7 linked regions of the Xenopus tropicalis genome follow. The protein of the gene in region 4 interacts with the protein of the main gene of each other region in a pairwise test. Links are inferred from orthologs where the notes say so. Each region holds a gene or a part of one and is shown on either strand. Other genes may lie near its edges.

Region 1 (4,125 bases), on a different chromosome or scaffold from region 4:
GGGGGGATCAGATAGGATCTGTGCCACTGTGACAGAATGCTCTGTTATACAGATAGCTAGAATCTCAGCCATAAAGCAGGGCAGGACTGCTGCTTACAATGGGGGGGGGGGGGGGATCAGATAGGATCTGTGGCCACTGCGACAGAATGCTCTGTTATACAGATAGCTAGAATCTCAGCCATAAAGCAGGACAGGACTGCTGCTTACAATGGGGGGATCAGATAGGATCTGTGCCACTGTGACAGAATGCTCTGTTATACAGATAGCTAGAATCTCAGCCATAAAGCAGGGCAGGACTGCTGCTTACAATGGGGGGATCAGATAGGATCTGTGCCACTGTGACAGAATGCTCTGTTATACAGATAGCTAGAATCTCAGCCATAAAGCAGGGCAGGACTGCTGCTTACAATGGGGGGATCAGATAGGATCTGTGCCACTGTGACAGAATGCTCTGTTATACAGATAGCTAGAATCTCAGCCATAAAGCAGGGCAGGACTGCTGCTTACAATGGGGGGGGGGGGGGGGATCAGATAGGATCTGTGCCACTGCGACAGAATGCTCTGTTATACAGATAGCTAGAATCTCAGCCATAAAGCAGGGCAGGACTGCTGCTTACAATGGGGGGGATCAGATAGGATCTGTGCCACTGTGACAGAATGCTCTGTTATACAGATAGCTAGAATCTCAGCCATAAAGCAGGGCAGGACTGCTGCTTACAGTGGATAGGCCTTACAGATCTTACCTGTGTTAGACCTGAGTGAAGGGAGTTGAGGGGCTCCAAATCTTTGGTCTCCTGGAGAGATTGGTTGAGCACCTGGGGGTTCTCGCTCGGCTCCTTTGCTGGAGACAAGGCATCATTGCTGCTGTCCTCTTCAAAGGCAAAGGCATCCACAGATTTGGAGAAGTTCATCTGATTTCCTACATGAGTCAAAGAAAGAGAGAGATGTTATTACCGGTTACTGTCACCGGACAAAACACTGAGAAGATGCCTGGAAAATTCATTTCAACTCTATTTAAATGGGAAATTCCAAGATTTGGGACTGTCCCTCTAAACTGAGAAAAATAGAGGGATATTGTCAATATATATTTATATATGTAGGAAAGCCAAACGTTCAGGGCCCTGTAGCCACCTAAAAGGAGGAACTGCAGGTATGGTAGGGCAAGACAGTAGGGCAAGATGGAGACAGTAGGGCAAGATGGAGACAGTAGGGCAAGATGGAGACAGCAGGGCAAGATGGAGACAGTAGGGCAAGATGGAGACAGTAGGGCAAGAGGGAGAAAGTAGGGAAAGATGGAGACAGTAGGGCAAAATGGAGACATTAGGACAAGATGGCGATAGTTGGACAAGATGGAGACAGTAGGGCAAGATGGAGACAGTAGGACAAGATGGAGACAGTAGAGATAAGATGGGACAGTAGGGCAAGATGGAGGCAGTAGGGAAAGAGGGAGACAGTGGGGCAAGAAGGAGACAGTAGGGCAAGATGGAGACAGTAGGACAAGATGGAGGCAGTAGGGCAAGATAGAGGCAGTAGGGCAAGAAGGCAAGATGGAGGCAGTAGGGCAAGATGGAGACAGTAGGGCAAGATGGAGACAGTAGGGCAAGATGGAGACAGTAGGGCAAGGTGGAGACAGTAGGACAAGATGGAGACAGTAGAGACAGGTGGAGACAGAGACAGGTGCAGGCAGTAGGGCAAGATGGAGACAGTAGGACAAGATGGAGGCAGTAGGGAAAGAGAGAGACAGTGGGGCAAGAAGGAGACAGTGGGGCAAGATGGAGACAGTAGGACAAGATGGAGGCAGTAGGGAAAGAGAGAGACAGTGGGGCAAGAAGGAGACGGTAGAACAAGATGGAGACAGTAGGGCAAGATGGAGGCAGTAGGGCAAGATGGAGGCAGTAGGGCAAGATGGAGGCAGTAGGGCAAGATGGAGACAGTAGGACAAGGTGGAGACAGTAGGGCAAGATGGAGACAGTAGGACAAGATGGAGACAGTAGGGCAAGATGGAGACAGTAGGGCAAGATGGAGGCAGTAGGGCAAGATGGAGACAGTAGGACAAGATGGAGACAGTAGGACAAGATGGAGACAGTAGGACAAGATGGAGACAGTAGGGCAAGATGGAGACAGTAGGACAAGGTGGAGACAGTAGGACAAGGTGGAGACAGTAGAGACAGGTGCAGGCAGTAGGGCAAGATGGAGACAGTAGGGCAAGATGGAGACAGTAGGACAAGATGGAGACAGTAGGGCAAGATGGAGACAGTAGGGCAAGATGGAGACAGTAGGACAAGGTGGAGACAGTAGGACAAGGTGGAGACAGTAGAGACAGGTGCAGGAAGTAGGACAAGATGGAGACAATGGTGGAGTAGATACAATTCACACTACAGCCTTTCAGTTGTTTTGGATGTCGCGGGTTGTAGAGTTGTAGTTAAACAACAGGCACAGTCATTATTTACACAACCAGTGGACCCCAACCCAATGAAACAGAGCCCCGGGGGGGGGGGGTTAAGCACATATCCATACGCCCTGTCCCAATGAAATATTACACAGATGATGCCAGACTCCCGCTCTCCCAACTTTCCACTCATTTATTTCTTTTATGTGCTGTGACGGCAATTTCTGGAAAGTGGCTGTGACACGCGTTAAACCCAACAACTGGCGAGCGGCACGGGGGAACAGACACAAGGAAAGAGATATATTTATATATGTGTAGCCAGGAAAGTATATATTGTGGGTTTATTGTATTTACATAATTCCTCTTTTAGTTTCAGGTATAAAGGGCAAGTTACAATGATACTGTCGGCTGAAGGAAACAAGACTACTATGGGATCCCTTATCCAGAAACCCGTTATCCAGAAAGCCCGTCTCCCATAGACTCCATTTTAATCAAATAATTCAGAATTTTAAAACAGATTTACTTTTTCTCTGTAATAATAAAACAGTACCTGTACTTGATCCCAACTAAGATATAATTACCCCTTATTGGGGGCAGAACAGCCCTATTGGGTTTATTTAATGGTTAAATGATTCCCTTTTCTCTGTAATAATAAAACAGTACCTGTACTTGATCCCAACTAAGATATAATTACCCCTTATTGGGGGCAGAACAGCCCTATTGGGTTTATTTAATGGTTAAATGATTCCCTTTTCTCTGTAATAATAAAACAGTACCTGTACTTGATCCCAACTAAGATATAATTACCCCTTATTGGGGCAGAACAGCCCTATTGGGTTTATTTCATGGTTAAATGATTCCCTTTTCTCTGTAATAATAAAACAGTACCTGTACTTGATCCCAACTAAGATAAAAATAATCCTTATTGGATGTAAAACAATCCCATAGAGTTTAATTAATGTTTTATTGATTCTTTAGTAGACCTAAGTTATGGAGATCCAAATCACGGAAAGACCCCTTATCTGGAATACCCTTTGTCCCGAGCATTCTGGATAACAGGTCCTATACCTGTATAATTTATCTCTAATTGCCCTTTATCTCTGTGGATATTCGTGCTGTGCCCTTGATACCCTTCCAATCGCAAACATTTTTTTCTTTGGGTTTATATCCCCTTTACAAAAACCACAATGTGACTGTGGCCCAGTGAAGTGTCCCGGCTGAGTGGGGGGGGGGATCTTATTTCCGTCTGCGACACGTTCGGGGCACGGGGTGTTATCTGTCCCAGTACCGATATAGTCAGAATGTGACAGCGCCTCTTGACCCGCTGCCGGGACTGATTAGTTAAAGTGCCCCAGAGACTGTCACTTGGATATCACCAAGCACAAGTGGGGCAGATAAATAACCCCCCCTCCCCACCCCCGCATCTGGCTTCTATCAGCCTGTGCCTGATAACTGACTGATTAACAGTTTATAGGAGAGGACTAATGACATGGGTTGTACATGGGTCCTGGTTCCAAAGCAACTGGCCCTTCTCTTATCTAATGTTGCTAAAGGCAAACTAACCCTGAGCTTTTTATTCACGTGGAAATTCAGCATTGTGTCTAGAAAGCCATCCATGGGACGACCAATCTAGTCAGGAGAGGCCAAGCCACCAAGTGAGGGCTACCGGGGCAGGAGAATGAAACCTTAGTAGTAACTGGGCCCTCCCAAGCTGTAGAGTTGGTGGCCACCACTCA
Region 2 (4,552 bases), about 68 Mb from region 4:
ATGGGTTAAGGGATCTGGAATCATTTCCCAGGGTCCCCCATGTAATGTACACTCCACGCACACTGGGGATCCTGGGGTTAAATTCACCATGTGCTCTCGACACACTTCTACCCATGAATCATAGGGAGGTCACAGGGGACGGCGGCAGCCAATGACAGGCAGAGCATCTGACAGCTCAGAACCCAAGAACCAAATTCAAAAATGCAGAGTGTGAGCAGCTCGGGGAGAGGGGCTGGGAGGGGCCCTGGGTCCCCAGTGTTGTATGTAGGGGGGTTACTAAAGGGCACCCCATAGTATGTGTAGGCTAAACAGGCAGGGTACATAGAAACTGCACCCTAATACTGTACAATGTAGGTGGGGGGGCGGCAGTACAGGGGGCAGCGGGGAGTACAGGGGGCAGTACAGTGGGCAGAGGGCAGTACAGGGGGCAGTTCAGTGGGCAGTACAGAGGGCAGGGGGCAGCGGGGAGTACAGTGGGCAGAGGGCAGTACAGTGGGCAGAGGGCAGTACAGGGGGCAGTACAGAGGGAAGCGGGCAGTACAGAGGGCAGCGGGCAGTACAGGGGGCAGTACAGAGGGAAGCGGGCAGTACAGAGGGCAGCGGGCAGTACAGGGGGCAGTACAGAGGGCAGCGGGCAGCACAGCGGGCAGAGGGCAGTGGGCAGTACAGCGGGCAGAGGGCAGTACAGGGGGCAGCGGGCAGTACAGTGGGCAGTACAGGGGGCAGTACAGTGGGCAGTACAGGGGGCAGTACAGTGGGCAGTACAGGGGGCAGTACAGGGGGCAGTACAGGGGGCAGTACAGTGGGCAGTACAGTGGGCAGTACAGGGGGCAGTACAGTGGGCAGTACAGGGGGCAGTACAGCGGGCAGTACAGCGGGCAGTACAGGGGGCAGTACAGCGGGCAGTACAGCGGGCAGTACAGTGGGCAGTACAGTGGGCAGTACAGCGGGCAGTACAGGGGGCAGTACAGTTGGCAGTACAGGGGGCAGTACAGGGGGCAGTACAGGGGGCAGTACAGGGGGCAGTACAGTGGGCAGTACAGGGGGCAGTACAGTGGGCAGTACAGTGGGCAGTACAGTGGGCAGTACAGTGGGCAGTACAGGGGGCAGTACAGTGGGCAGTACAGCGGGCAGTACAGTGGGCAGTACAGGGGGCAGTAACACAAGATAAAGCAGACACAGGCATGTAATACAGAGGACAAAGGCAGGAATGTTCTGGGAGTGGGGAGGGAATACACAGGGAGAGGCAGAGATTACAGAAGGGGGGGGGCAAATGGGAAGGGAGAGTGACCCTCACCTGCAGGATGGAGGTAGATAAGGTGCTGCTGGGGTAACCCTCAGGCTGGGCTGGGGAGCTGCTGCTGCCACGGGAGGAGCTGTCGAAATTCCCTGGATAATCCTGGTACATGATCTGAGCTCTGAACTCACAGGGTGGGAGGCTGCCGGGGTCCAATCTTCAAAAAACACATACGGAAAGGCAATCAGACACTGGCACCCAATGTGTGCCCATATACCCACTGTACCCTGTGCCCATATACCCTCTGTACCCTGTGCCCATATACCCTCTGTACCCTGTGCCCATATACCCTCTGTACTGTGTGCCCATATACCCTCTATACTGTGTGCCCATATACCCTCTGTACCCTGTGCCCATATACCCTCTGTACCCTGTGCCCATATACCCTCTGTACTGTGTGCCCATATACCCTCTGTACTGTGTGCCCATATACCCTCTATACTGTGTGCCCATATACCCTCTGTACCCTGTGCCCATATACCCTCTGTACTGTGTGCCCATATACCCTCTGTACCCTGTGCCCATATACCCTCTGTACTGTGTGCCCATATACCCTCTGTACTGTGTGCCCATATACCCTCTGTACCCTGTGCCCATATACCCTCTGTACTGTGTGCCCATATACCCTCTGTACCCTGTGCCCATATACCCTGTGTACTCTGTGCCCATATACCCTCTATACTGTGTGCCCATATACCCTCTATACTGTGTGCCCACATACCCTCTGTACCCTGTGCCCATATACCCTCTGTACCCTGTGCCCATATACCCGCTGTACCCTGTGCCCATATACCCTCTGTACCCTGTGCCCATATACCCTCTATACTGTGTGCCCATATACCCTCTATACCGTGTGCCCATATACCCTCTGTACCCTGTGCCCATATACCCTCTATACTGTGTGCCCATATACCCTCTGTACCCTGTGCCCATATACCCTCTATACTGTGTGCCCATATACCCTCTATACCGTGTGCCCATATACCCTCTATACTGTGTGCCCATATACCCTCTATACTGTGTGCCCATATACCCACTATACTGTGTGCCCATATACCCTCTATACTGTGTGCCCATATACCCTCTGTACTGTGTGCCCATATACCCTCTATACTGTGTGCCATATACCCTCTATACTGTGTGCCCATATACCCAATGTACTGTGTGCCCATATACCCACTATACTGTGTGTCATATACCCTCTATACCCTCTCATATACCCACAATTTACCCATATACCCAGTGCAATGTGTGCGACTGTGCCCCCATACCCACTGTGCCTCCATACTCACTGTGCCCCCATACCCACTGTGCCTCCATACTCACTGTGCCCCCATACTCACTGTGCCCCCATACCCACTGTGCCCCCATACTCACTGTGCCCCCATACCCACTGTGCCTCCATACTCACTGTGCCCCCATACCCACTGTGCCCCCATACCCACTGTGCCTCCATACTCACTGTGCCCCCATACCCACTGTGCCTCCATACTCACTGTGCCCCCATACTCACTGTGCCCCCATACTCACTGTGCCCCCATACCCACTGTGCCCCCATACCCACTGTGCCCCCATACCCACTGTGCCCCCATACCCACTGTGCCATGTCTCCATATCCTACATTGGGACACTTCTCCATATAATTGCTTTCTGTCGGATCACCCCCCCACGCCGTATACCCGCTGATCCATAAGACATATACCCGCTGATACCCTGGCAAGAGATGCCCCCACCTTGTTAATCCAACTCAGCGGGCGCCCAGTGGGGCGAATAGATATAAAGTGCCAGGCCCGGCCCTGTAATCCAATGGGTGCTGTCAGTGCGATCTCTCTCCCATAGGGTGCTGGGTGCGCTGCCGGCTGTGCTGCCGATCCAAGTGTCCTGCCCCAGGTACTCTTAGTTATCCCGATTGTACAGCGCTAGGTACTCTTAGTTATCCCGATTGTACAGCGCTAGGTACTCTTAGTTATCCCGATTGTACAGCGCTAGGTACTCTTAGTTATTCCGATTGTACAGCGCTAGGTACTCTTAGTTATCCCGATTGTACAGCGCTAGGTACTCTTAGTTATCCCGATTGTACAGCGCTAGGTACTCTTAGTTATTCCGATTGTACAGCGCTAGGTACTCTTAGTTATTCCGATTGTACAGCGCTAGGTACTCTTAGTTATCCCGATTGTACAGCGCTAGGTACTCTTAGTTATTCCGATTGTACAGCGCTAGGTACTCTTAGTTATTCCGATTGTACAGCGCTAGGTACTCTTAGTTATTCCGATTGTACAGCGCTAGGTACTCTTAGTTATTCCGATTGTACAGCGCTAGGTACTCTTAGTTATTCCGATTGTACAGCGCTAGGTACACTTAGTTATTCCGATTGTACAGCGCTAGGTACACTTAGTTATTCCGATTGTACAGCGCTAGGTACTCTTAGTTATTCCGATTGTACAGCGCTAGGTACTCTTAGTTATTCCGATTGTACAGCGCTAGGTACTCTTAGTTATTCCGATTGTACAGCGCTAGGTACACTGCAGGCTGTGCTGCTATTCCATGTGTCCTGCACTAGTTGCACTCCCAGCTGTACGGCACAGGGCACACTGCCGGCTCCTCTGATCCCCCCGGCTGGGCTGGAAGTCGCACTTCTGACTGGGCAGATCTGTCAGTACGGCACAGGGCACACTGTACAGCGCCGATGACACTGCCGCTGGAGCTGCGCTGGGTGAGTCAGACCGGAGTCACTCTGATCACTGACTGAGCTACCAGCGCTCCCAATGCGACTCAGGCTCCTCCCCCGGGGCGTGGCCGCCCTTGTTTCCTGCGGAGAGTGGGGCAGTACCAGGCCGGGGGGGGTGTTACCCTGCGCTCTCACCTCTTTCTTCCACTTGCCCCGACCTGCCCGCTCAGCTCTGCCCCCCCCGCACTATTGGACTATCCCAGCTGTTGGCTCCCCTGCCAAGCGCTTGGTTCGCTCCATTGACGCAAGTAGCAGCCATATATGGGCAGTGACGCAAGCGGGTTCCCTTGGTTGGAGTGACGTGTGCGGGAGGGATTCCCTGGCTGGCTCGGAGCACCTGCTGGGCTTGGGAAGGTGGGGGCTCCGTACTACGGGCCATTGTAGCGCTTAGTATTGAGGCTTCAAATGGGCCTTTGGCAATACATGGTGGGTAGGGGAATACAGTGAGTAATATCCTGAATCTGAAGGTGGGGGTTAAACCCCCCCAGTAATTACTAACCCCCCCCCCAGTAAGTACTGATAGAAAG
Region 3 (4,732 bases), about 54 Mb from region 4:
GAGGTTAGAGGGGGGGCAGTAACTCAGGGATACAGTGTTTAGTAAGCAGGGCCGGATTTCCCAATTGGCCGAACTGAGGCCGCCCCCGGTTGCATGCCCCCCCCCCCCGAGTGCGCATGTGTGCAGAGGGAGGCGGGGTTTGCGCGCTCACGCGAACAGCGGGTGAGGGGTGCGCGCATGCGCTGTAGGCCAAATCATGCATACGGAGCAGTGGGGAGAAGTCCCCAAGGTTTCTGCCGCCCTAGGCCTGGGCCTTTGTGGCCTTTCCACAAATCCGGGCCTGTTAGTAAGGCAAGATGAGGTTAGGGGAGGGGGCAGTAACTCAGGGATACAGTGTTTAGTAAGGCAACATGAGGTTAGGGGAGGGGGCAGTAACTCATGGATACAGTGTTTAGTAAGGCAACATGAGGTTAGGGGAGGGGGCAGTAAGGCAAAATGAGGTTAGGGGAGGGGGCAGTAAGGCAAAATGAGGTTAGGGGAAGGACTGTAACTGTAACTGTAGTAAGGCAAGATGAGATTTGGGGAGGGAACATTACCTGTGGGATAGAGTGTTTAGTAAGTCGAGAAGATGGTATTGGGGAAGGGGCTGTAACTGTAGGGACGGTGTGTAGAGTACAGCAGGTTGGGGTAACTACTCTTTATACTGGCCAGTGGGATAACTATAGGGGCAGCAGTCCCTGGTAAGAACCCACTGTTCCTCCATCTAACCTGCATCTTTGAAGGCAGAATGGGGATTGCAAAGGGGTGCCCCAAAATATTTGTTCAATTGGTCAATTGCCCCAGAACCACCAATAGGGAAACCCACCCTTGCCAATTAACACTTAAAGTGACACATATTCCACACAGATTATTTCTCTTTAACCTAAAGGGCAGTTTGGCCACCACAGTGCACTCTGGGTGTTTAAAACTTCTCCTTTGCATCTTTCATATCTTTCTGTTCTAATGCATGGGAAACATTTGTGTATGATAAATGAAGGGTGACGCCTAAGGAACACAGATATTAGTGTGTAAAAGTGGCCCCTCTCTGGTTTTAGCATGTTTTGATCACCTTCCTTTTTGCTGGAACCAGTCAGATCTCCCGATGTGGCACAGACATTAGGCAAATGTAGCACAGTCCCCGCTGACTGCCCCATGGCTCCCTTTGACTTCTATGGGAAATGCACTGATATGATGAGTCTACAGTGGGAGAATGTGGATAACACAGACCAAGCTACGGTTATAAAATCCCACCCAATTACTGTTTATAAGTAAGAATAACATGATATATTGTATAAAAGTATAAAGGGTAAGCATAAAAAAACTGTTCTGTAATTAAATATCTCTAAGCAAAATCCCCCGCAGGTGTCCAGATGAGCCCCCAGTGCTAAGTATGTGAGGCTGGCAGAGTTTCATGCACTTGTCCAACAGTTGCTTTGCTTACACTGCCCTATTATAGCATATTAATGCCTTCATATCAGAGCAGGGCAATGTACAATGAACCTACCTTCATAATAACCTCCCTAATGAACCACTGACCCTAATGAACCTGGCATCATTACAGGGTAGGCCAGAGCCTGGCATTCCTTATGCCCCTATATAAAACAATGGCCATGGGCAGCTGGCAGTGGCTAAGTGCCTGGCATTAGATGTCTATTGGAGCACTTTTCAGGGAACATGGTGCTGATCATGGGCAGACAATGGTTCTATTGTCCCAGTGGATGTGAGTGGCACTGGCAGGGGACAGTAGTGTCAGCTCCTGATTGCTAGGAAACCAACCACACAGCTCCCTGGCACTGAAACCATGGCAATAAGGAGCTTGCCAGTAATCTCCTTCCTAGAGGCAAACAGGCACCCCCCCCCCCCCAGATGGGGGGCTTTAACTCCACCATAGTGATGTGACTATGCTCCATGTACGTTAGAAAGTCCAACTTACCCGCATAGTGGTCAAACACAGTGGGCACATACTCCTCCGGGAAGGCATCATTGGCATAGCTCATAAGGAGGCAAGTTTTGCCCACTGCCCCATCTCCCACCACCACGCATTTCAGCATGCTATTCCCTGTCCCATTCGCCATGATAACAGGAGGCTCATCTCCCCGGCATGCTGTGGGCGGCAGACTGCTGGGGGGGACTGGGCACCGCAGCGCATCTCCCCTCCTTCTCCCACAGTCAGTGAGTGAGCGACTCGGCCGAGTCCGGGAGGGATACAGCCTGTACAGTCAGCGACTGTCTCCTCCGAGTCTGGAAGTGATAACAAAGTGACTCCTTCAGCAGTGATGCAACTGATCCGACTCCTCCAGCAGCGACACAATGTCACAAAGTAGCGCAGTGATACTATGTAAGCGACCCCTCCGGCAGTGATACTATGTAGGCGACCCCTCCGGCAGTGATACTATGTAGGCGACCCCTCCGGCAGTGATACTATGTAGGCGACCCCTCCGACAGTGATACTATGTAGGCGACCCCTCTGACAGTGATACTATGTAGGCGACCCCTCCGGCAGTGATACTATGTAGGCGACCCCTCCGGCAGTGATACTATGTAGGCGACCCCTCCGACAGTGATACTATGTAGGCGACCCCTCTGACAGTGATACTATGTAGGCGACCCCTCCGACAGTGATACTATGTAGGCGACCCCTCCGGCAGTGATACTATGTAGGCGACCCCTCCGACAGTGATACTATGTAGGCGACCCCTCCGGCAGTGATATTATGTAGGCGACCCCTCCGGCAGTGATACTATGTAGGCGACCCTTCCGGTAGTGATACTATGTAGGCGACCCCTCCGGCAGTGATACTATGTAGGCGACCCCTCCGGCAGTGATACTATGTAGGCGACCCCTCCGGCAGTGATACTATGTAGGCGACCCCTCCGCAGTTATACAATGGAAGAGACCCCTCCAGGAGTAATGCACCGTCTCAAAGTGGCTCCTCCAGCAGTCAGACTACTGAAAAGACCCCCTCCAGCAGCGATTCCACTAAAGAGACCCCCCTAGCAGCGCTACTAAGCAAAAGACCCCTTTCCCAGCGATACAATGTAGAAAGAAACCCTTCCCAGCACTGATACAACGTTCCTTGGAAGTGGAAAGCGGAACCTGGGGTCACAGCACTGCCGGCTGCCAGTCCCGACTCAGCACTCCTGGGGAGCTGCTCATATCTGCAATGACATCTGATTTCCTCTTAAAATGTACAGATTTCAAAACTGTTAAGTTCTTCCCTCCCCCCAACTTCAGAGGGCACATCACTTTCCGGCTGTGCAGTCTCAGCCTAGCTTGGCTGGGGGGGTAGGGATGAGAGAGGCTGCTAATGATGGGAGGCTAAGGGAGCGTCTCCAAAGAGCTTGATTCCAAACATAAGGAAGAGTCTTATAAGGGTTCTGCCTGTCCCCTCCCTTGCACTCAGCTCAGGGGCACAACATACCCAGTGGCTGCAATGAAAAATGAAAAGTCACATTAAACATGTATTTTCCCAGTCATGATTAAATGATATAGATGTGAGAAAATTAGTTGAAGAGAGGAGTTCAGGGGATTTAAGGGGTTAAGAGTACAAGTAGAACCCCTGGGTGGCCAAGATTTAGTGAACTCTATCCAAGGACTGTTATATATATATTTATATATAGTTTATTGAGAGTGGGCCCTTGATGTCTGGCTCTTTGGCCCTATTGTCCTCTTGGCAGTTGCAACAGCTGCAGGGCTGAAAGTTGGACATGCATGATTTATTTTATTTACTTGATATCAGAATCAGACAGGTTTCCTGCATTGCCAGGGGCACCGAGGCCCCATTTTCACTAACCACAACCCTGGCAGAAGGTTTACATTTAAATATATAATGGGAAGACATTTTGAGAATGACAAGGAAGAGGAACACTGATGATATGGCAAGCGATTTAGTTGCAGATTACTTAGTACCAAGGCCTTTGAACAAGGTCAAGAAGCTTTAGAACCACACCAGTACCCACTGTCTGGAAGGGTTAGAGCAGGGATCCCCAACCTTTTATACCTGTGAGCCACATTTAAATGGAAAATGTTTTGGAGAGTAACACAAGCATGAAAAAAGTTTCTGGAGTTGCCAATGAGAGCTTGGTACTTGGTAGCCCCTATGTGGACTGGAAGCCTACAGAAGGCTCTGTTTGGCAATTACACTGGGTCTTATGCAATCAAAGCTTGCCTACTAACCAGAAATCCAAAAATAAGCACCTACTTTGAGGCCACTGGGAGCAACATCCAAGGGGGTTGGGGAGCAACATGTTGCTCACGAACCATTGGTTGGGGACCACTGGATTACGGTGACCATACACATATTGATTGGTTCCCCCCCGACCTAGTTGGTAGCTTATGGGCCCATGTATAGTGACCACTGACCATGCTGCTGGACTGATTGGGTAGGTCTAAAAATCACAACAGATGAGGCCCATGTTGGTACATTGATGTGGCCATTGTCCACTGCATAATCTGATCCTTGGTCCCAGGGTCAACAGTCGGATCAGCCTGGTTTGGTCCAGTGCCTGGGTGGTCAAATTGGACTCCACTCATTTGGTGCCCACCCCTTGCCAACTTTAGTGACACACTGAGAGGCAGGAACAGTGTTGGACTGGCCCACCAGAATACCAGGAAAACTCCCGGGGGGCCCAGGGGTCAGTGGGCTCTCCTGCTCCTGACCATTTGGCCTATTTCATGGTACAGTATTTCAAGAATGGGAAGAAAGAGAAGAAATAGATGTAAGAATAGATGCTACCATGTAAATAAAAGAGAC
Region 4 (4,565 bases):
TTCTTGAGGAACCACTTTGCTAACATTCCCCGATAGCAACACACCCATGATCTATGTACTTGCTCCACTCCCCTTTCCTTTTTGTTTTCTCAAATTGACTTTAAGATCCTTATAGCATTGACATAATTCAGAACACTTTCCAATATCCATGACTGTTCCTTCTGTAGAAGCCATAATTCTCCAATTTCAATGCATGCCCACACCATATTATCATTAATTTATGTTTCACTTACATATAATTATTCATTTATGCTTTACTTATAAATCCCAGAGCCCCAGTGGATCGTATAATCAAAGGTGCCTATCATATACAAACAGACTATGGTCCGAATACAAACTACTGCATATGTATAAGCCATCTTCCTTCAACTATGCCCTCCACTCTAAGTAAAAATAATAATTCCTTCTTTAATTTCGTTACCCTTTCCATACATACAAGCAGTCTTCCACACTTTTCCCTGCCTAATTCTTATGTATAAGCAATCCTTTTCCAATCTGCAGAACTACCACTTTTAGAGCCTAAGTAAGTTATAAATGCAGACACCTAGGGCATGGGTGAAAACTTGCATTACCGACCTTCCTACTTGCATTTGTAGGGTTAAATGCGTTCCCTGCAGTGTATACAAGGTTCCCTGTAAAACTGCACCTGGGTTCTGTGGCAAAAGAAGTGCTACAAATATGGCTAACATTGAGGCTGGAAGAAAGCTGTGAAAATTAAAGAACAGGCAGTGGAAATCCCCTTTGACAGCACCAAAAAAAAAAAAAAAAAAAAAGCTGCTGGAGAAAAAACTCCATCTTGACAGGAAGAGTACAGGAAAGGGTAGTCGAATGCCCACGTGAATCTAAGAAAAGCAGGGTGGCAGCACAAAAGCTCTAACTTGAAGTGAAGGGACAAAACCACCCCCTGATCCACTGCCTAAACCCAGGCAGTTACTATAGCAATTACTGTGAGTGCCAGCCCAGAGGAACTGCTTTAACAATCCTCTGAAAGGTCCTTAGTACCTGTTATTTAGGAGCAGTTATTTAGGAGCATTAGGACCCATTCTTAAAGGGAAAGGTAGCTACAATCATTTTATAAGAGTTCTTAGCATTGTACTCTACTTGCATAAATTAAACTTTGCATTCAGTTACCCATTTACAACATTGAAGAGGAGGTTGTTAGCTTGCACTACGACTGTCCCTAGCTGATAGTGGGTAAGCACAGAGTAATTTATCCCACCTTTGAAGACACTGCCAAATAGTGATTTTCCATCAAATCTTTGTGACATGATTGCCAGAAATATTACTACATTGTCTTTTTCTGTCATTCCTCTAGTTCTCCAGCTTTTTGGTTATAGCTACTTCAGTCCTCCCACTTTCTCACTGTATCTACTACAACCCTTTGAATTTCTCATATCTACTCCAACTTTCTCATTATAGCTACGACTTTACCCTCAACTTAATTATATCTAGTCTAACCCTTCAACTTTCTCATTGTATCTACTCCAATTCTCCAACTTTCTCATATCTATTCCAGCCCTTCAACTTTCTCATTTTTCAACATCTATTCCAATCCACCAACTTTCTTATTATATCTACCTCAGTCCAATCCTCCAACTTTCTCAATATATCTACTCCAACTTTCTGGGTAATTTGAACGCACCATTTTTTAAAAAAATATCTATTCCATTAAAGGGGTTGTTCACCTCGAAGTTAACTTTTAGTATGATGTAGAGAGTGCTATTCTGAGACAATTTGCAGCTGGTCTTAATTTTTTATTATTTGTGTTTTTTAGCAGTTCTCCAGTTTGGAATTTCAGAAACTATCTGGTTGCTAGGGTCCACATTTACTTAGCAACCAGGGAGTGGTTTAAATGAGATACTGATATATGATTAGGAGAGAACCAGGATAGAATTTTTTTTTCATAAAAAGTAGCAATAACAATAAAACTGTAGCTGCGACAAATCTCCGTTGTCGCGGGCGAATAATCTCCCTGCAATGCCATCCCACCGGCTAGAATGTAAATCGCTGGTGGGACGGCATATGCGACGCTGCGATTTGCCGAAGTCGCTGAAGTTTCCTCTCAAGGCAACTTTGGCAAATCCCAGCACCGCGTATGCCATCCCACCGGCAATTTACATTCTAGCCGGTGGGATGGCATTGCAGGGAGATTAGTCGCCCGCAACAAAAGAGATTTGTTGTGGCGCGACTGTGTGTCATGGCCCTTACAGAGCAACCTCCTAAATATATAACATATTTACTTGAACCTCATTATATCTACTCCACTTCTCCTGCTTAATCATTATATCTATTCCAACCCTTTAACTTTCTCATTATATCTATTCCAACCCTTTAACTTTCTCATTATATCTATTCCAACCCTTTAACTTTCTCATTATATCTACTCCAACCCTCCAACATTCTCATTATATCTCCTCCAACTTTTTAATATTATATTTACTCCAAACATCTTACTTGTTAATATTATATCTACTCCATCCCTTTAACTTTTTAATTATATCTTTTCCAGCTTTCTTGATATATCTTCTCCAATTCACCAGCTTTATCATTATACCTACTCCAGTTCCCCAACTTTTTTTTTATCATATCTATTTCTCAATAAATTTACTCCGACTTTCTCATTATAGCTTCTCCTATCCTCCATCTCTCTCATTATATCTAATCCAATATTTCAATACCAGTTTTCCTAATTCCTTTAGACTTAAATGCAATCCCACCACTCTGTACACCTAATCTTCTATGCTCTGCATCCTCCTCCATCTCTCCTGTGTACTCCATCAGCCAACTAACTACTATGTAGCCTAGCTTTCTTTTCATGCATTCCAAGCCCTATGTCTTTCCAATATTAATTCGTTATTTCCCTCTTTCTCCATTTGACCGATTTCTCATATTTCCATATTACGCAGCAACCCCATTCTCTCCCCAACAGAATTTGGGTTTCACATATCCACTCACTACGCGTACCTCCAGTTTATGGTTGATCTGGCTGACAGTCTGTGCTTTGTGACAAAGTTGTGCGAAACAAGAGCTTAGGGTGGTCATCTTCTGTCGACCCTCATATGTGATATCTGCCTGGTCCGGGTCTATCTCCCCTAGCAACAAGTCAACATCCACAAAGGCCTTATCAAACTCTTTCTCCAGCACTTCAAGCCAGCGAAACATCGACATGCCGGGAACAGGCCCGGAGGCAGAGGTCGAGCACGGAGCTGCAGACATTGCGGAGCAGACGTATAACCGACAGACAGGAAGAAAAAGGGAGAATGTCACTTGATTACTCCACTCTCTGATTGGCTGGCCTGGCGAGGCAAGACTCTCCTCCGATTGGCTAAGCCATGGGAACGTCACGAAAACCTCACCTATCTGGTCATCCAAATACGCCGATTTGTTAGATACAGTACACGTGACATCTAAAACGCTTCCTATTGAGAGGGGGATTAAACGATACTGGGTGTTTACATTTCGCGCACCTAGAGACAGTATATATAGACACGTACGTTCCTCCATAAATTCCAGATCGAGTCTCAATAACTAATGTTAGACTGCTTTTATTGTGTTTGGCAGGAATTTGTGATTTGGAACTATGAATTTGCCACAAACAGAAGCGCGTATAGGCGGTCAACTTTTCTTGCCTGCCACAACTGACGGCAGCAGGCAGAACCAAGCGATGCTAGAAAGTAATGGTAATTGAGCAGCGGCAGTCACGTGAACTGGTTGTTGTTACTGATTGCTTGGGAATTGCTAGTTTGGCCTTCCGGTAGAACGTAGAGTGCAATTGTCCGTGTGTTTTTAAGCACAAGTGTAGATGATGTTTTGAACCCGGGTTCAAAGGGTTTAAGTTCTATTATGCGAGCTGTTCCAAAACGTTTTTACTGTGTAAGGCTTATTTCTTTTTATCATCCCCATTCTATTGTTATACTGAAAGCATTTTCAAATCCTGCAATGCAAATCCACTTAAAAGAAAATCTAATTTGGACAAATGTCCAAACGTACTTTCATTAAACACTATTATTTGTAAAGTGAACTGCAACTGAAAGCAGCATTTGTCACCTGCTGTACATTTTCAATTGGGTCCCAATGGCTTCCCATTACACAACATCCAGGTGTAATCCTTTCAGTGGGTCAATCCTGTGCGGTGTTGCGCTCTATTTTCCACGTTTGGCGAATTCACGGACTGTCCTGTTTGTGCTGATCAAATAAAATAACCTAAAAAGTGAACACAAATTAACTGCATATGACAGACAATAATACAATGTTTGTGTAATCGTGACTCTACACAAACCAAATTTATAGCAGATTAAATACAGTACTTCATTTTTAATGCCTCCGGAAAACAAGACTATGCAAAAGATAATGTCCGACATCTGTCGAGCTGTAGTCTAAATTAAATATTAAAGTGATACTGACAGCCAATTAATTTTTTTTTTTACACCTGCTGTTGTGTTTTAATTTGTATCGGCTTTAAATTCCTTATAAAAGTTTTTTGCACGAATTACAGACCCACGGAGCAGCCATGTTTGTTCCCCTCTTCCAGGTTTTAATTTAAATGCCTCCCAAGTAAATAAATA
Region 5 (4,537 bases), on a different chromosome or scaffold from region 4:
AAAGTCGCGACAAGATACGAGCGCATCGTAATGGCTACGAAAAACTCGCGTTTTTTCGCGCAAAGCGTATTGGTAACAAAAAAGTCGCGACAATTTCCGAAAAGTTGTAAAGGCGCCGAAAAGAAATCGCAAAAAATACGAAAAAGTTGCAAAATGTTCGTTTTCCAATCGGAATTTTTCCAATTCGGATTCGTGGGTTAGTAAATGTGCCCCCTAGAGTACCAAGATTTGCCATATGGTGACTGCAGTGTCATTGGCCAATTGATATAACCTTTCAGTATCTTAATTGTCAACCAATTAGTAATGGGTGTATCTGTCCAATTTCACTTTGTTGAAGAATTATCAAAATGGCAAAAATTTACAAAATACATTGAAGTCAATGGGCGTCTTATTTTTTACCACGCAACTTTTTTTTTTGCAGCCATTGGAGTTTATAAGTGTTCTTCTGTGCGAAACTTAAATTTCACTCATTGTTATCAACCATATGTCTTTCCATATAACTATTACGTTTAATATTTTAACTTTGGTGCTAGCATTTGTTTTTCAAGAAAACTGTTAAAGTTCAATGCCTGCTCCAGATTTTACCCTTACTATTGCCATAGTGAACAACTATAGTCCCTAGTTTGTGAAGGGGGGAAACAAGAAATGACTAAAATATAAATTTATATTACATAGACCTAGATAGACCAAAATGTTCCATCTCACAATTTCCACTTAGTGATGGGCGAAATGTTTCGCCAGGCATGGATTCGCAGCGAATTTCTGCGTTTCGCCATTGGTGGATTGTTTCGCAAAGCGGATGAAAAAATTTGCTGCGGAAAAATTCGCAGCACGTTCAAAAATTGTCGCCCGCGTCAAAATAATAGTCGCGGGCGACAATTTTTTTTGACGTGCGACATTTTTGCCGTTTCGCGAATGTTTTGAAAGATTCGCGAATTTTCTGGCGAAATGGGACAGATTCGCTCATCACTATTTCCACTTAATGCATCATATAGATGTATACATTCATTTTCGAGGACAGATTGTGGACATGAGTGCTTTTATTAAACTCATCTACAAAATAAATAATTAATAGTTAAGTTTTTAAGAGGTAAGTTCTTCTTTCAGTTAAACTGATGAATGCAAATATAGATGTTACACCATTCTCTAAGGATTAAAATGTGCCTACACAAATGTAATTGTTCTTAAAGAGTGTGTTGTTTCAATTGCATTTTATGAAATACCATATATTTAAAGTGTCTGAAGCAACTGATAAGTAGTGGGGAAGCCCTTTACCATTTGACTGTATTTTTGCTGTTTAGGATGTTATTGGAAGAGCTTTGCAATATATTGGATCTTACAGTCAATTGAACATACAAGAACAAGTTGTAGCCCTGATTGATGAGGAAATGTGCATAAACTGTGGCAAATGTTATATGACCTGCAATGATTCTGGATACCAGGTAAGTTCACTTTTATAAAGGATAAATGCATTTAAAAAATTGCATCTATATACTGTAGAACATATAGGTTTAATAAATCAATGTTTAACAACAGACCGAAGCTCATGTTTATTAATGTGTAAAAATACACCATATATTGGCATTAATGGAACTAGGTAAAAATACACTGGATTTTACCTATCTGTGCTGAACCTAAAATTCTGGGTTAACTACCCCACCCCCAATAAATGAGCTTAATGTTACATTTTATGTAATGTTCTTATATGGGTTGACTTTTAGAATCATTTAATATTCAAAGTATGTTAATCTGACCCTTATTTCTTGCTTGAAAGTGGGTGTTCTTTTTGAGGCAGTGTTTACACAAAAGCAAGGTCTTGCCTATTTGAATTGTGCTGCCATAGATTCCTTCAAATCATAGGGATTATGTTAAACAAACAAATCATTAGGGTTGAGGAGACTTCCATATACAGATACAAATAAACAAAAGGAATTCTGGGATAAATCCATTTAAATGGGATTTTCTAAGAGTTTGTTTGGAATTCATTCCCAGAATTCCTTTTGTTTATTAGAGATTATGTTAGACTTCTTTAACAGAAGCATATTTGCAATACAGAACTTTATTGTATGTGTAGTGTTGATTACATATAGCCTTGCATGTCCCTGGCCATATCTGGCATATGATCCTGCAGAAATCAACATGGTGAGCAGCTTGAGGCAGAGGACCCACACCCACCTAAACAACTGACCCTTACTTTTTCCTCTGAAAGCCTTAGTGACATAGTGACACAATATGATCAGTTTTTATCAAGAGCCAGGTAACCTGCCTCTAGGTTTTTGGAGTGTTAAAGGAAATCCACACAGAGGACATTGCAGCTAGATCCTTGGTTGGAATAGAATCTATGACCCCAGTGCTATCTATAGTAACCACTTTCTAGTAACAGCAGAATAGTATAGTCAATTCACTATTAATACTATAAGAAACCCTGACATTTTATGAGACTGACAATATACTATTCAATTTCTTGGTGACATTACTTTTTGAATTTAGAATTGCTGCTTAGTGTTTTTCCTATGTCTTCTATCAATTACTTCTGAAATGAATAAATAATGACATTCACGCTTGCTTTTTAAAAGACCTTTATTAAAATGACCTTTATTTTATTTTTCCCATCAGGCTATTGAGTTTGATCCTGAGACTCACCTGACTACTGTCACCGACAGCTGCACTGGCTGCACCCTGTGCCTTAGTGTCTGCCCCATTATTGACTGCATCAAAATGGTTGCCAGGACAACTCCTTATGTACCAAAGAGAGGCTTACCCTTAACTGTTAATCCAGTTTGTTGAGGTGAATAGTTCAGTGGTTAATGTGAATCTCATGTCTACTGCTGCTGACTTAGTATCTCATTATAGTACATTATGTGAAATCAGATCAGAATATAGAAATATAGCGTTTTTTTAATTACACTTGTATATGCCGGCCATGTAGCAATGCAGGAATCCAACGGCAATTGGCTCTAATATTCACAAATCTTATTAACTCTTTTTCAATAGAGCCATTACATTATGTGCCTTAAAGTATAACCCATTGTTTCCTAGTTTTTATAAAGTTGGTTAATGCAGCACAAATGATAACATAACAGAGCAAATGTTTTATAATGCAATTAAAGTGCCTTGTATTTCTTCATATTTTCTTTTTAGTCAGAAACCACGAGCCATAATTAGTGGCATGAAAAACAAAGAATTAGGGGAAGAATTACGGTTTGTAAACAGGCGATAGGCATATAGTGGGGATTTAACTCTGGATTAAGTTCTTTCTGCAGTGTGTCCACTGATAAAACATAATGTATTTCTTAAGCCTTCGTACATTAGTGCTCATAATGGACCCTGTATAATTCAGAACTATTAACCCTTTAGAGCAAGCAGAAAAAATACTGGACATTTTTTTTCCTTGTTTGTACTGAAGTAGAAAATACTTAATCTGCTATATTCTCTGTGTTGTTTAATTGCATTGGTTTTATTCAATTAACAATAATTAACATTAAAGTGAATTACTGTCTGCATACAAAATTGGCAAAAGCAAAGAGTGCAGAGTAGTCTGCATTTGTCTCTCACCAATTAAAGACCATCACCTTAAATTTGTTTTAGTGTAGGAGATATTTAATCTGAGAAGTTTCAATACATATGTTTGTTTATTATGGGAATCTGGTTAATATATAATTACATACAAAGCTGCACGGTATGGTTTGGGGATAAAAATATGCTATGTAATCAATGGAGTGTTTTCAATAGCTTTAAAAAATTCTGAAATAATTAAAACTATCAAGCCTTATATGTGTTTTGTTTTGTTTTTATCCATTATCAAGGGACATCGGTGTCCAGGGATAAAAATGTGGCACTATATAGACAATAACTTGTACTGGTACTGAGATGGAACTATTCCCACTGGCTTTATATACTTCTAATCCAATCTGACTTAAGCATATGCTGTACATCTGTACAAAAAGTCATATGAACACTACCACTGAATCTCTATTAGACATTTGGGAAGTGGGGATAACCCCTTGTTTATTATGGTTCCAGTATATTGAAAGAGTCTGGAGAATGCCTATTCGCTTTCCTAGACATTTCTGAAAGCCAAGCAGAAAGGTCAGTTGTGGTAAGCTTTTGGCTCTTTTTCTCTGGCATAGAAATTCTTTGAATTATGACCAAATGGCTGATACTGCACTTGTCATTAATAGGAAGTATTTAGAAAGCACCAACATATTTCATAATGCTGTACAATGGAGGGGTTATAAACTGAACATACAGATTACATACAAAATACAACTAATAACCGATACAAGGACTAAAGAAGGTCCTTTCACAATGTGTGCTAGAGTCAGGCCCGGATTTGTGGCAAGGGCCCGGGCCTAGGGCGGCACAAAATTAGGGACTGCATGCTGCCCCGCCGCACCTAAATTTATTCACATATGGAGCACTGGGAACAGGACACGCAGAAAACTTAATCTGCATCCTTTCCGCATGCGTGATCCTGAGGGGGGTGGAGGGGGTGTGGAATGAGAAATCCGATGCTGGCTAGAGTGTGTTTTGGGTA
Region 6 (3,208 bases), on a different chromosome or scaffold from region 4:
TATCATTTATTATTAAACAAAATGTTATGTGTGTATTAGTGACGTCTCTGCAACAAGCCAAGCCTCATTCAAGAATGTGGGCGGCGCTTGTTTATATACTTATGTTTTCCTTGCCCCCTCCAATGACTTCAGTATAGGGGCAGATGCAGGAATATCAGTTGTCATGGTGGGCCAGGTTGTATATTTTCTTACTCTTTAATTGCCCTGTAAACTCTTCTTTGATCTGTCCTAGTGCCATGAACAGCAGTGACATAAAGCACCTGGGTGTCAACCTGCTCCCTGGATACTATGACCCGTTCTCGGGCCGAACACTTACCAAGGGGGAAGTTGGCTGCTTCCTTAGCCATTTCCAGATCTGGAAAGAGGTAAAACAATGCCCCTTCAAGGAATTTGAAAACACTGTCCCCTCTTGACTTGGGTTTGTACTTTGTGCTTTATGTGGTTGGGAAGAACGTGTTTCTGAAAGCTGCAGTTGACTTGTATTGTTCAGGCAAGGACAGACATTGGCTGCTAAGTCACGCCCATAACAAAAGATCCGCTTATTTGGCAACCTCGCTAGTGATGTGTGTGCCAGTCTGAAACCTGGGGGACCCTTGGGTTAGGGCCGCAACCTTACTATGCCCGGCTTTGGCAGCCTCTATTTATAGACACACCCCTGCCAGCCCTGCCACCTTTGTGACATCAAAAATGGGCAGATTGAGCGTGAGTCTATAAAAACAGGTGCCTTGTTGGGTTGGGAGAGGGCGGTTTAGGGTTGGTGCAGGTTGACAAAAAACAAGCGCCCCCTCTTACAGACTGGTCATTTAAAGTATTGCTGTTTATTTTAACGTGATTGGTTTTTCACCCCTAGATCACAGAGCGGCAGCTGGATACAGCAGTCGTTTTTGAGGATGATGTGCGTTTCCAACCATTCTTCAAGCGGAAGATGATTCGCCTTATGGGGGATATTCGCAGTGCAGAGCTGGACTGGGATTTGATGTAAGGGTGTAGTGATCACAATGCAAGAGCTTATGGGTACTGGCACATGGTAAATCTGTGCTACTGTGGGCAACAAAACACACAAAAAAAATGCCTTCACTTACCTTCAGATGCGCAAGAAAGAAAAACAGATAAGCTCTGTAGAATACAATGGGTTTAGTTCTTATTCAGAAAAATAAACAGGGATCAAATGCCATTCATGGCTCACTGTGGGACTACAGAATGGAAACCTCTCTCGTACAGAATATTTGTTGCCAAGAAATGTATGGTTAATAGTTAGTTTTGGGCATTGCACCTATGACTTCACTTATGTGAGCCAGTAGATACATCATCTTGGAAAATGTAGCCAATGTAGTCCAGTAGGACATCACAAACCATGGAAAACATGACCATCTGATCAGCAGTTATATGGGCCAGTAGACTCATAAAACCCTGAAGATGGTGGCCAAAATACAAATTAGGCACCAATCTTGGAAAGTGGTGATGGTGGCACCAGTGGTCAAGTGGTGCAAGGTTACATGGACAGATTATTTTATGTTGGATATACTGATCACGGGCACTTTCACTAACAATAGAAGTCAGCGGTGGAAAGCCCTTAGCATTGCTTCTTTGCGCAAAGTTGCCTGCAGGAGGAAACTGAATACCAGAGCAATGCAAAGGGCTTTCCATCGGTGACTCCTATTGTTGCCAGTGGAAAACCATTTCACAGAGGTTAGTCCTGATTGACTGAACCACTGTGTGGGTTCTTAGCCTTATAAATCACTGTGACAGGTTTCTCCTTTCTTTAGTTACATAGGGAGGAAGCAAGTGACCTTGGACCCAGAACAGCCAGTGGAAAACGTGCCGCACTTAGTGGTTGCCGATTACTCCTATTGGACCTTGTGCTACATCATCTCCTTGCAGGGTGCCCAGAAGCTGCTGAACGCAGAACCGCTCTCCAAAATGCTCCCAGTGGATGAGTTTCTGCCAATCATGTCTGACACACATCCCAAGTAGGTATCCTCTGAAGAGCTCAGGTTGCCATGTTTAGCCCAGTTCATTACCCTTACATTATAAAGAGCTATTTGTGTGTGTGTATCTATATTATCCTGACCTGTTTACCCCACCCCTTCTCTGTTCTGTACCCTCAGTAAGGAGTACAAGCAACACTTTGTGAACAGAAACCTGCGTGTGTTTTCTGTTCATCCCCTTCTCGTTTACCCAACTCATTACACTGGGGAGACCAGCTGGCAGAGTGATACGGAAACCTCCACCCTTTGGGACAACGATAATGTAAGAACAGACTGGAGCGGGTCGCAGAAGACCCTGAAGGACACAAGGGGAGATTCGCACCCAGTGCTACACCCTGCATCGCATGATGAGCTGTGACAATGAGAAGTTAGGGTTAATAATCACAGAGACATGTGACCTCGTATTGCAATGCAAAAAATTTTTATTAGGACTCTGGTTGGCAGAGAGACTGCTTTGCTTTGGCTGTCATTTTAAGCAGTAAGTTGCCTAAGTGGCACAGCAGGGAAGCAATGTGTTGCCATAGTTGTTGACACAAAAATTGGTGCTACAAAAAATGTGTAATGTATTTTCTGCACTTTGAATTTATAGAGTAAATGTTTTTCTAACTGAGCCATGATTGCAATTGTTTTCAGGCTCTATCAAACTTCGAATCACTCATTGGATAAGTAGCTTGAATGTGGCCAATTTCACTTTCTTTCAGTTGAGGCTCCTTAGCTCCAAAGATGCTTTCTGTGCACCTAGGTCTTTAGCTCTGAGCCAGCCTCCTGGGCACCTGGGTCTTTAGCTCTGAGCCAGCCTCCTGGGTACCTGGGCCTTTAGCTCTGAGCCAGCCTCCTGGGCACCTGGGTCTTTAGCTCTGAACCATCCTCCTGGGCACATGGGCCTTTAGCTCTGAGCCAGCCTCCTGGGTACCTGGGCCTTTAGCTCTGAGCCAGCCTCCTGGGCACCTGGGCCTTTAGCTCTGAGCCAGCCTCCTGGGTACCTGGGCCTTTAGCTCTGAGCCAGCCTCCTGGGTACCTGGGCCTTTAGCTCTGAGCCAGCCTCCTGGGCACCTGGGCCTTTAGCTCTGAGCCAGCCTCCTGGGTACCTGGGTCTTTAGCTCTGAGCCAGCCTCCTGGGTACCTGGGTCTTTAGCTCTGAGCCAGCCTCCTGGGTACCTGGGTCTTTAGCTCTGAGCCAGCCTCCTGGGAACATGGGTCTTTAGCTCTGAGCCAGCCTC
Region 7 (4,795 bases), on a different chromosome or scaffold from region 4:
CAGCTATGAGACACCCGCCCTCTCGCGTTGGAGACTTCACAGCTGTAATTCCCGCTGTCTCCCGTCTGTGCCTTCAGCAAGTGCAGCGAGTGAATCCGAGCCCCTTCCCTGATCCGCACCCCGTCCCTCTCCCCCAGCGCCGAATTCTCTCGGAACCACTCGACCCGCGGTCTGGGATCTCCCGAAACTGACAGCGAAATGAGGGGAAAGGAGGGAAAGCAAGAGTTAATAATAACAGTGGAATCTTAGGGAGGAATCATGGGAGAGACCTGCCGAATATTGAACCCCCGGGCACCTACAGTACTGAATCTGATCCAAACCCAGCGCTGCCAGTATTAACCCCCCAAGTGCTGCTGCACAGGTAGAACTGCAGGGACCCTTTATGGCTGAGATTCTAGCTATCTGTATAACAGAGCATTCTGTCACAGTGGCACAGATCCTATCTGATCCCCCCATTGTAAGCAGCAGTCCTGCCCTGCTTTATGGCTGAGATTCTAGCTATCTGTATAACAGAGCATTCTGTCACAGTGGCACAGATCCTATCTGATCCCCCCATTGTAAGCAGCAGTCCTGCCCTGCTTTATGGCTGAGATTCTAGCTATCTGTATAACAGAGCATTCTGTCACAGTGGCACAGATCCTATCTGATCCCCCCATTGTAAGCAGCAGTCCTGCCCTGCTTTATGGCTGAGATTCTAGCTATCTGTATAACAGAGCATTCTGTCACAGTGGCACAGATCCTATCTGATCCCCCCATTGTAAGCAGCAGTCCTGCCCTGCTTTATGGCTGAGATTCTAGCTATCTGTATAACAGAGCATTCTGTCACAGTGGCACAGATCCTATCTGATCCCCCCATTGTAAGCAGCAGTCCTGCCCTGCTTTATGGCTGAGATTCTAGCTATCTGTATAACAGAGCATTCTGTCACAGTGGCACAGATCCTATCTGATTCCCCCATTGTAAGCAGCAGTCCCTGCCCTGCTTTATGGCTGAGATTCTAGCTATCTGTATAACAGAGCATTCTGTCACAGTGGCACAGATCCTATCTGATCCCCCCCATTGTAAGCAGCAGTCCTGCCCTGCTTTATGGCTGAGATTCTAGCTATCTGTATAACAGAGCATTCTGTCACAGTGGCACAGATCCTATCCCCCCCATTGTAAGCAGCAGTCCTGCCCTGCTTTATGGCTGAGATTCTAGCTATCTGTATAACAGAGCATTCTGTCACAGTGGCACAGATCCTATCTGATCCCCCCCATTGTAAGCAGCAGTCCTGCCCTGCTTTATGGCTGAGATTCTAGCTATCTGTATAACAGAGCATTCTGTCACAGTGGCACAGATCCTATCTGATCCCCCCCCCCATTGTAAGCAGCAGTCCTGCCCTGCTTTATGGCTGAGATTCCTGCTTATTCATTTTATTCAGTTTGGCCAATAAATTCTACAAACATAATATTATAGAATTTTCTCTTTACTTACTGGTTCAAAAAACACACACAAGAGCAAACGGATTCCTACAGTTTTGGGTTTTGTATTTATGCCACTATGAACCCAGTCTCTCCCAGTACTTTACTATATACAGAGATCTGATACAATACATATGTTCCATCTGGGCTGCTCTCTTGCCACGGTCAGGCAGGGGGGCGGGGCTTGGACATGGATGAAAGGTTCCCATTGGTCTGATTGATAGTAATCAGGGAAAACAATGTACAAAAGTGCTGTGAAGCAAGAGCACCCTCTAGTGGCCACAGCAACATCAAGCTGCTATAAACCCCAATGACAACTTGCTTCTCAGTTTGGTCCCTCCCCATCCGACCACTGGGAAGAGAGCAGCCCAAGAGGAGGAAGTAGAGAGGAGAAGAACTCTGCACCCGGGGATGTTTATTAAAATACACTCTGCCTTTAATACAAGGAATATTTCCCCTTTACAGTGAAACAGATACCTTTGCACCTGAATATCACTTCGCTGCCCTCCGGCACCTCTTGGCTTGAGGGACTCAGGTCGAAGCCGGGGGCAGTTCCAAGGCTTCTGCTCAAGGTTTCTTTTGTGTCCGACAACCCCGGGTGTGAATGAGACCCCTCCCGGCCCAAGGGAAGTGACTGCTGGTTGTGCCTGGTCCCACCATGACTTATCTCAGACTTGGGTTGGGTTTCTATCTTGACAGACTTCAGGGTGATGGTACTGGAGGCGGTCTTCTGGCGTTTTACCTCCCCACCATCTGGCGAGGTCTCGGCTGTACGCTGTGGGGTATCTGGGTGCTGCTGGGTGCTCGATCCCAACAGGGTGCTGCTTGTAGTACCATGGAGTCTAGATTGAGATTCTCTAGATTTGGGAAAAGACTGCGTAGAACTAAATTCTGCGGTCTCTTTTGGCTTCAAGCTCTCGCTGAGGGTCACGTTCGATATCTGTCTAGAAGGGACATCTGAACGGGTCTCTTTAGACATTTCATACAGAGAAGCCGGGTTCCCTAAAGTCTTAGCAGAACCGTAAGGCGACTTTATAGTGGGCCCCATTATCCGCTCCCGTGCCGACAAGAACGAGGTCTCTCTGTTCATTACAGAAGGCAACTTTTTGGAAGACGTCTCTTTTGTGAAACCATCAGATGGGGAATCTCTTATAAACTCCTGGGTGGGTTCCCGCGGGGTCCGTCCAAGTGGCTCTTTTTGGATGATGTCTCCGGGGCCTTTTGGTGGAACGCTCTTGTTCTTGGAGTCTAGAACCGACACCCCAAGATAAGGAGGTTCTTTGGCGCTGGTTTTATCCTTCGATAAAAACATCTGTATTTTAGAGTCAATGTTACTGGAGGTCCGTGACGCCACAGGAGATGTCTCTTTAGCGGAAACAGGGCATGAGTCTACGGGGGATAGAGAGGATGTCTCTTTGTCTGGGAAAGGTGCGGTCGCTTTTGTGGTGGGGGGCGTCTCTTTAGAAGACAGAGGCAGTCTAACTTTGGGTTGGATAGTGGAGGTGTAACGGGAGGTTACAGGTGGGGGCTCCTTGCCTTGCTTTGTGCCGGGGGCCGGGAGGGAAGGAGAGATCCTGCTGGATCCCCTGGGCGGATCTGAAGAGAAACTGTTGGGAACGGCCCGAGAGGGGGGCGACGGGTCCGTGTTGGAAATGGACACCGGCTTGTTGGAAGGGGTTCCGGGGATCCCGACGGGGGACACGTCCGGTTTCTCTATGTGCGAAGCTTTGGTTCCGTGGGAGGATCCGGAACCTCTTTCATTGAGGCCATTAGTGGCGACAGGTTTGGGTTCTGGGCTCCTGGTTGTCGGGAATGTACTCGGCCTTCTCGGGGGCGGCTAGCAAGCCGGACACAGAAAACGCCACACCTGACGGGACTGAGCAACCCCAAAAGTGCCCATCAAATGGCCAGAATCCATCACCTGTACCCTAGCCACTATTGTCCTTCCACTAGTTATTACTCCGCACTGCTTGCTAATATACCATCCTTTCCTATACGCTACCTCTATCTAGTAGTAACTCTATTTGCCCCACACTATATAAGATCACCATATACCCACCCCTCCCAAATTATAACAACTATATCCAGCCCCGAGACCACAAAGTACGATCGAGGCGCATATACCTCCAGAGCTACTCCTGCACCATAGTGCTAGAACTCTATTAAGCGCGCGCCAATAGTACCCCATAAGAGCCCTTCACCTATGATACTACTATGGCCTTCTTTCCGAAATAATACCCATACCCTCTCCCACCAATGAGTCAACTCCCAATTCCGCCCAAAAGTACTTATGGATACCGGACCCATGGCCTATATAACTCTATTGCCGCGCAAACCACCATAAGACCGGGCGGCGATACCCTATGACCCACCCCGCCTAGAATATATAACTTCACTTGCCCAAAAATGAGACTCACGCTTGTACACTCCTTCACTACACCTTCACAACACCATTACATATCCACTCGTTTAGCTCGCATGTACCCATATAACCCTTCCTTATAAACCCTTCATACGTGCCAGTCCAGACTGTACCACCACGATAATACCCCTCCTGATTACTCAGCTCTAGGCGGGGGCCGAGCTGTAGCCCGTATACTTATACCCCCCTAGTAGTAACACTACTCATACGCGATGCCCACCGCTTAGTACCCATTATAGGCGCATCCCCAACAGTTTAACTCCTCTAACCATAACTCTCTGTCCTTAACCTCCTATTTGCCCACGAACCTGTTTGCCTGCTCCATCATATGTGACGCCCTGGCGGCTTTCGCGACATGCATAGGGGCAAGTTCACCAGTTGAGTAGAGGAGCCACTGAGACAATTCAAGAGGCGGTGTACCCAGGAGTATCTTACTCTGCGATTCACGGTTCTTCCTCTCAGACCCAAAACAAGGAGACAACACGGAATGGTTTACATTAATAGGGTCACATGGCTCCTCTGGCCCAATGAATAAAGAGACACGGTTGAAGTCTAGAGTGCAAGATATTGGATCAATATTGTGCGGGCAAGTAGTGCCCGGCGGGCAGATAGACAGAATATGACAGTTGAAGAATATATAAACCACATTCGAGCACACAGAGAGAGTTTTACGTGTGGCCCGACGAGCGACGTTTTTCTCCCGTGAGCCCGGTTCTGGCCAAACGGTCGGCAGGTAGTAAGTCGGCCCGTGAGTGTTACTAGCACACGTCCCAAGTCGCTGTATATCTCTGAGGGGGAATGCGAAAAAGTATCCCGATTGTCTCGACATGAGGAGTAATCGAGCCCCATCGCTTGGCTGTATTCATCTTCTTCCTTGTTATAATCAGAATGTAACTTCACAGCACGCATACAGA

Evidence for each region.
Region 1: the proteins of gopc (region 4) and myocd interact in binary tests that used the Homo sapiens proteins (3 or more experiments, as listed by UniProt). The two-hybrid records come from large-scale screens. The link is inferred for Xenopus tropicalis from reciprocal best matches to the Homo sapiens genes GOPC and MYOCD.
Region 2: the proteins of gopc (region 4) and fosl2 interact in a two-hybrid assay, tested with the Homo sapiens proteins (2 studies listed by BioGRID and IntAct). The two-hybrid records come from large-scale screens. The link is inferred for Xenopus tropicalis from reciprocal best matches to the Homo sapiens genes GOPC and FOSL2.
Region 3: the proteins of gopc (region 4) and rhoq interact in a two-hybrid assay, tested with the Homo sapiens proteins (2 studies listed by BioGRID). The link is inferred for Xenopus tropicalis from reciprocal best matches to the Homo sapiens genes GOPC and RHOQ.
Region 5: the proteins of gopc (region 4) and dpyd interact in a two-hybrid assay, tested with the Homo sapiens proteins (2 studies listed by BioGRID and IntAct). The link is inferred for Xenopus tropicalis from reciprocal best matches to the Homo sapiens genes GOPC and DPYD.
Region 6: the proteins of gopc (region 4) and cercam interact in a two-hybrid assay, tested with the Homo sapiens proteins (2 studies listed by BioGRID and IntAct). The two-hybrid records come from large-scale screens. The link is inferred for Xenopus tropicalis from reciprocal best matches to the Homo sapiens genes GOPC and CERCAM.
Region 7: the proteins of gopc (region 4) and mylk interact in binary tests that used the Homo sapiens proteins (3 or more experiments, as listed by UniProt). The two-hybrid records come from large-scale screens. The link is inferred for Xenopus tropicalis from reciprocal best matches to the Homo sapiens genes GOPC and MYLK.

What each region holds. Positions count from the first base shown.
Region 1 is NC_030686.2:47,016,499-47,020,623, forward strand, and holds part of myocd (myocardin), read right to left. Parts: intron 2,867-4,125; exon of another isoform or gene 2,760-2,866; intron 920-2,759; coding exon 744-919; intron 1-743. UniProt on the Homo sapiens protein: Smooth muscle cells (SM) and cardiac muscle cells-specific transcriptional factor which uses the canonical single or multiple CArG boxes DNA sequence. Acts as a cofactor of serum response factor (SRF) with the potential to modulate SRF-target genes.
Region 2 is NC_030681.2:5,731,154-5,735,705, reverse strand, and holds the start of fosl2 (fos-related antigen 2), read right to left. Parts: upstream 3,223-4,552; 5' UTR 3,031-3,222; intron 1,455-3,030; 5' UTR 1,409-1,454; coding exon 1,298-1,408; intron 1-1,297.
Region 3 is NC_030681.2:19,933,383-19,938,114, reverse strand, and holds the start of rhoq (rho-related GTP-binding protein RhoQ), read right to left. Parts: upstream 3,271-4,732; 5' UTR 2,055-3,270; coding exon 1,913-2,054; intron 1-1,912. UniProt on the Homo sapiens protein: Plasma membrane-associated small GTPase which cycles between an active GTP-bound and an inactive GDP-bound state. In active state binds to a variety of effector proteins to regulate cellular responses. Involved in epithelial cell polarization processes.
Region 4 is NC_030681.2:74,163,648-74,168,212, reverse strand, and holds the start of gopc (Golgi-associated PDZ and coiled-coil motif-containing protein), read right to left. Parts: upstream 3,321-4,565; 5' UTR 3,217-3,320; coding exon 2,965-3,216; intron 1-2,964.
Region 5 is NC_030680.2:102,292,943-102,297,479, reverse strand, and holds the end of dpyd (dihydropyrimidine dehydrogenase [NADP(+)]), read left to right. Parts: intron 1-1,301; coding exon 1,302-1,442; intron 1,443-2,616; coding exon 2,617-2,787; 3' UTR 2,788-3,772; downstream 3,773-4,537.
Region 6 is NC_030684.2:25,849,103-25,852,310, forward strand, and holds the end of cercam (inactive glycosyltransferase 25 family member 3), read left to right. Parts: intron 1-232; coding exon 233-365; intron 366-850; coding exon 851-978; intron 979-1,766; coding exon 1,767-1,970; intron 1,971-2,108; coding exon 2,109-2,346; 3' UTR 2,347-2,598; downstream 2,599-3,208. UniProt on the Homo sapiens protein: Probable cell adhesion protein involved in leukocyte transmigration across the blood-brain barrier. Does not express any beta-galactosyltransferase activity in vitro.
Region 7 is NC_030685.2:88,421,599-88,426,393, reverse strand, and holds the start of mylk (myosin light chain kinase, smooth muscle), read right to left. Parts: upstream 3,287-4,795; 5' UTR 2,772-3,286; coding exon 1,937-2,771; intron 188-1,936; coding exon 1-187. UniProt on the Homo sapiens protein: Calcium/calmodulin-dependent myosin light chain kinase implicated in smooth muscle contraction via phosphorylation of myosin light chains (MLC). Also regulates actin-myosin interaction through a non-kinase activity.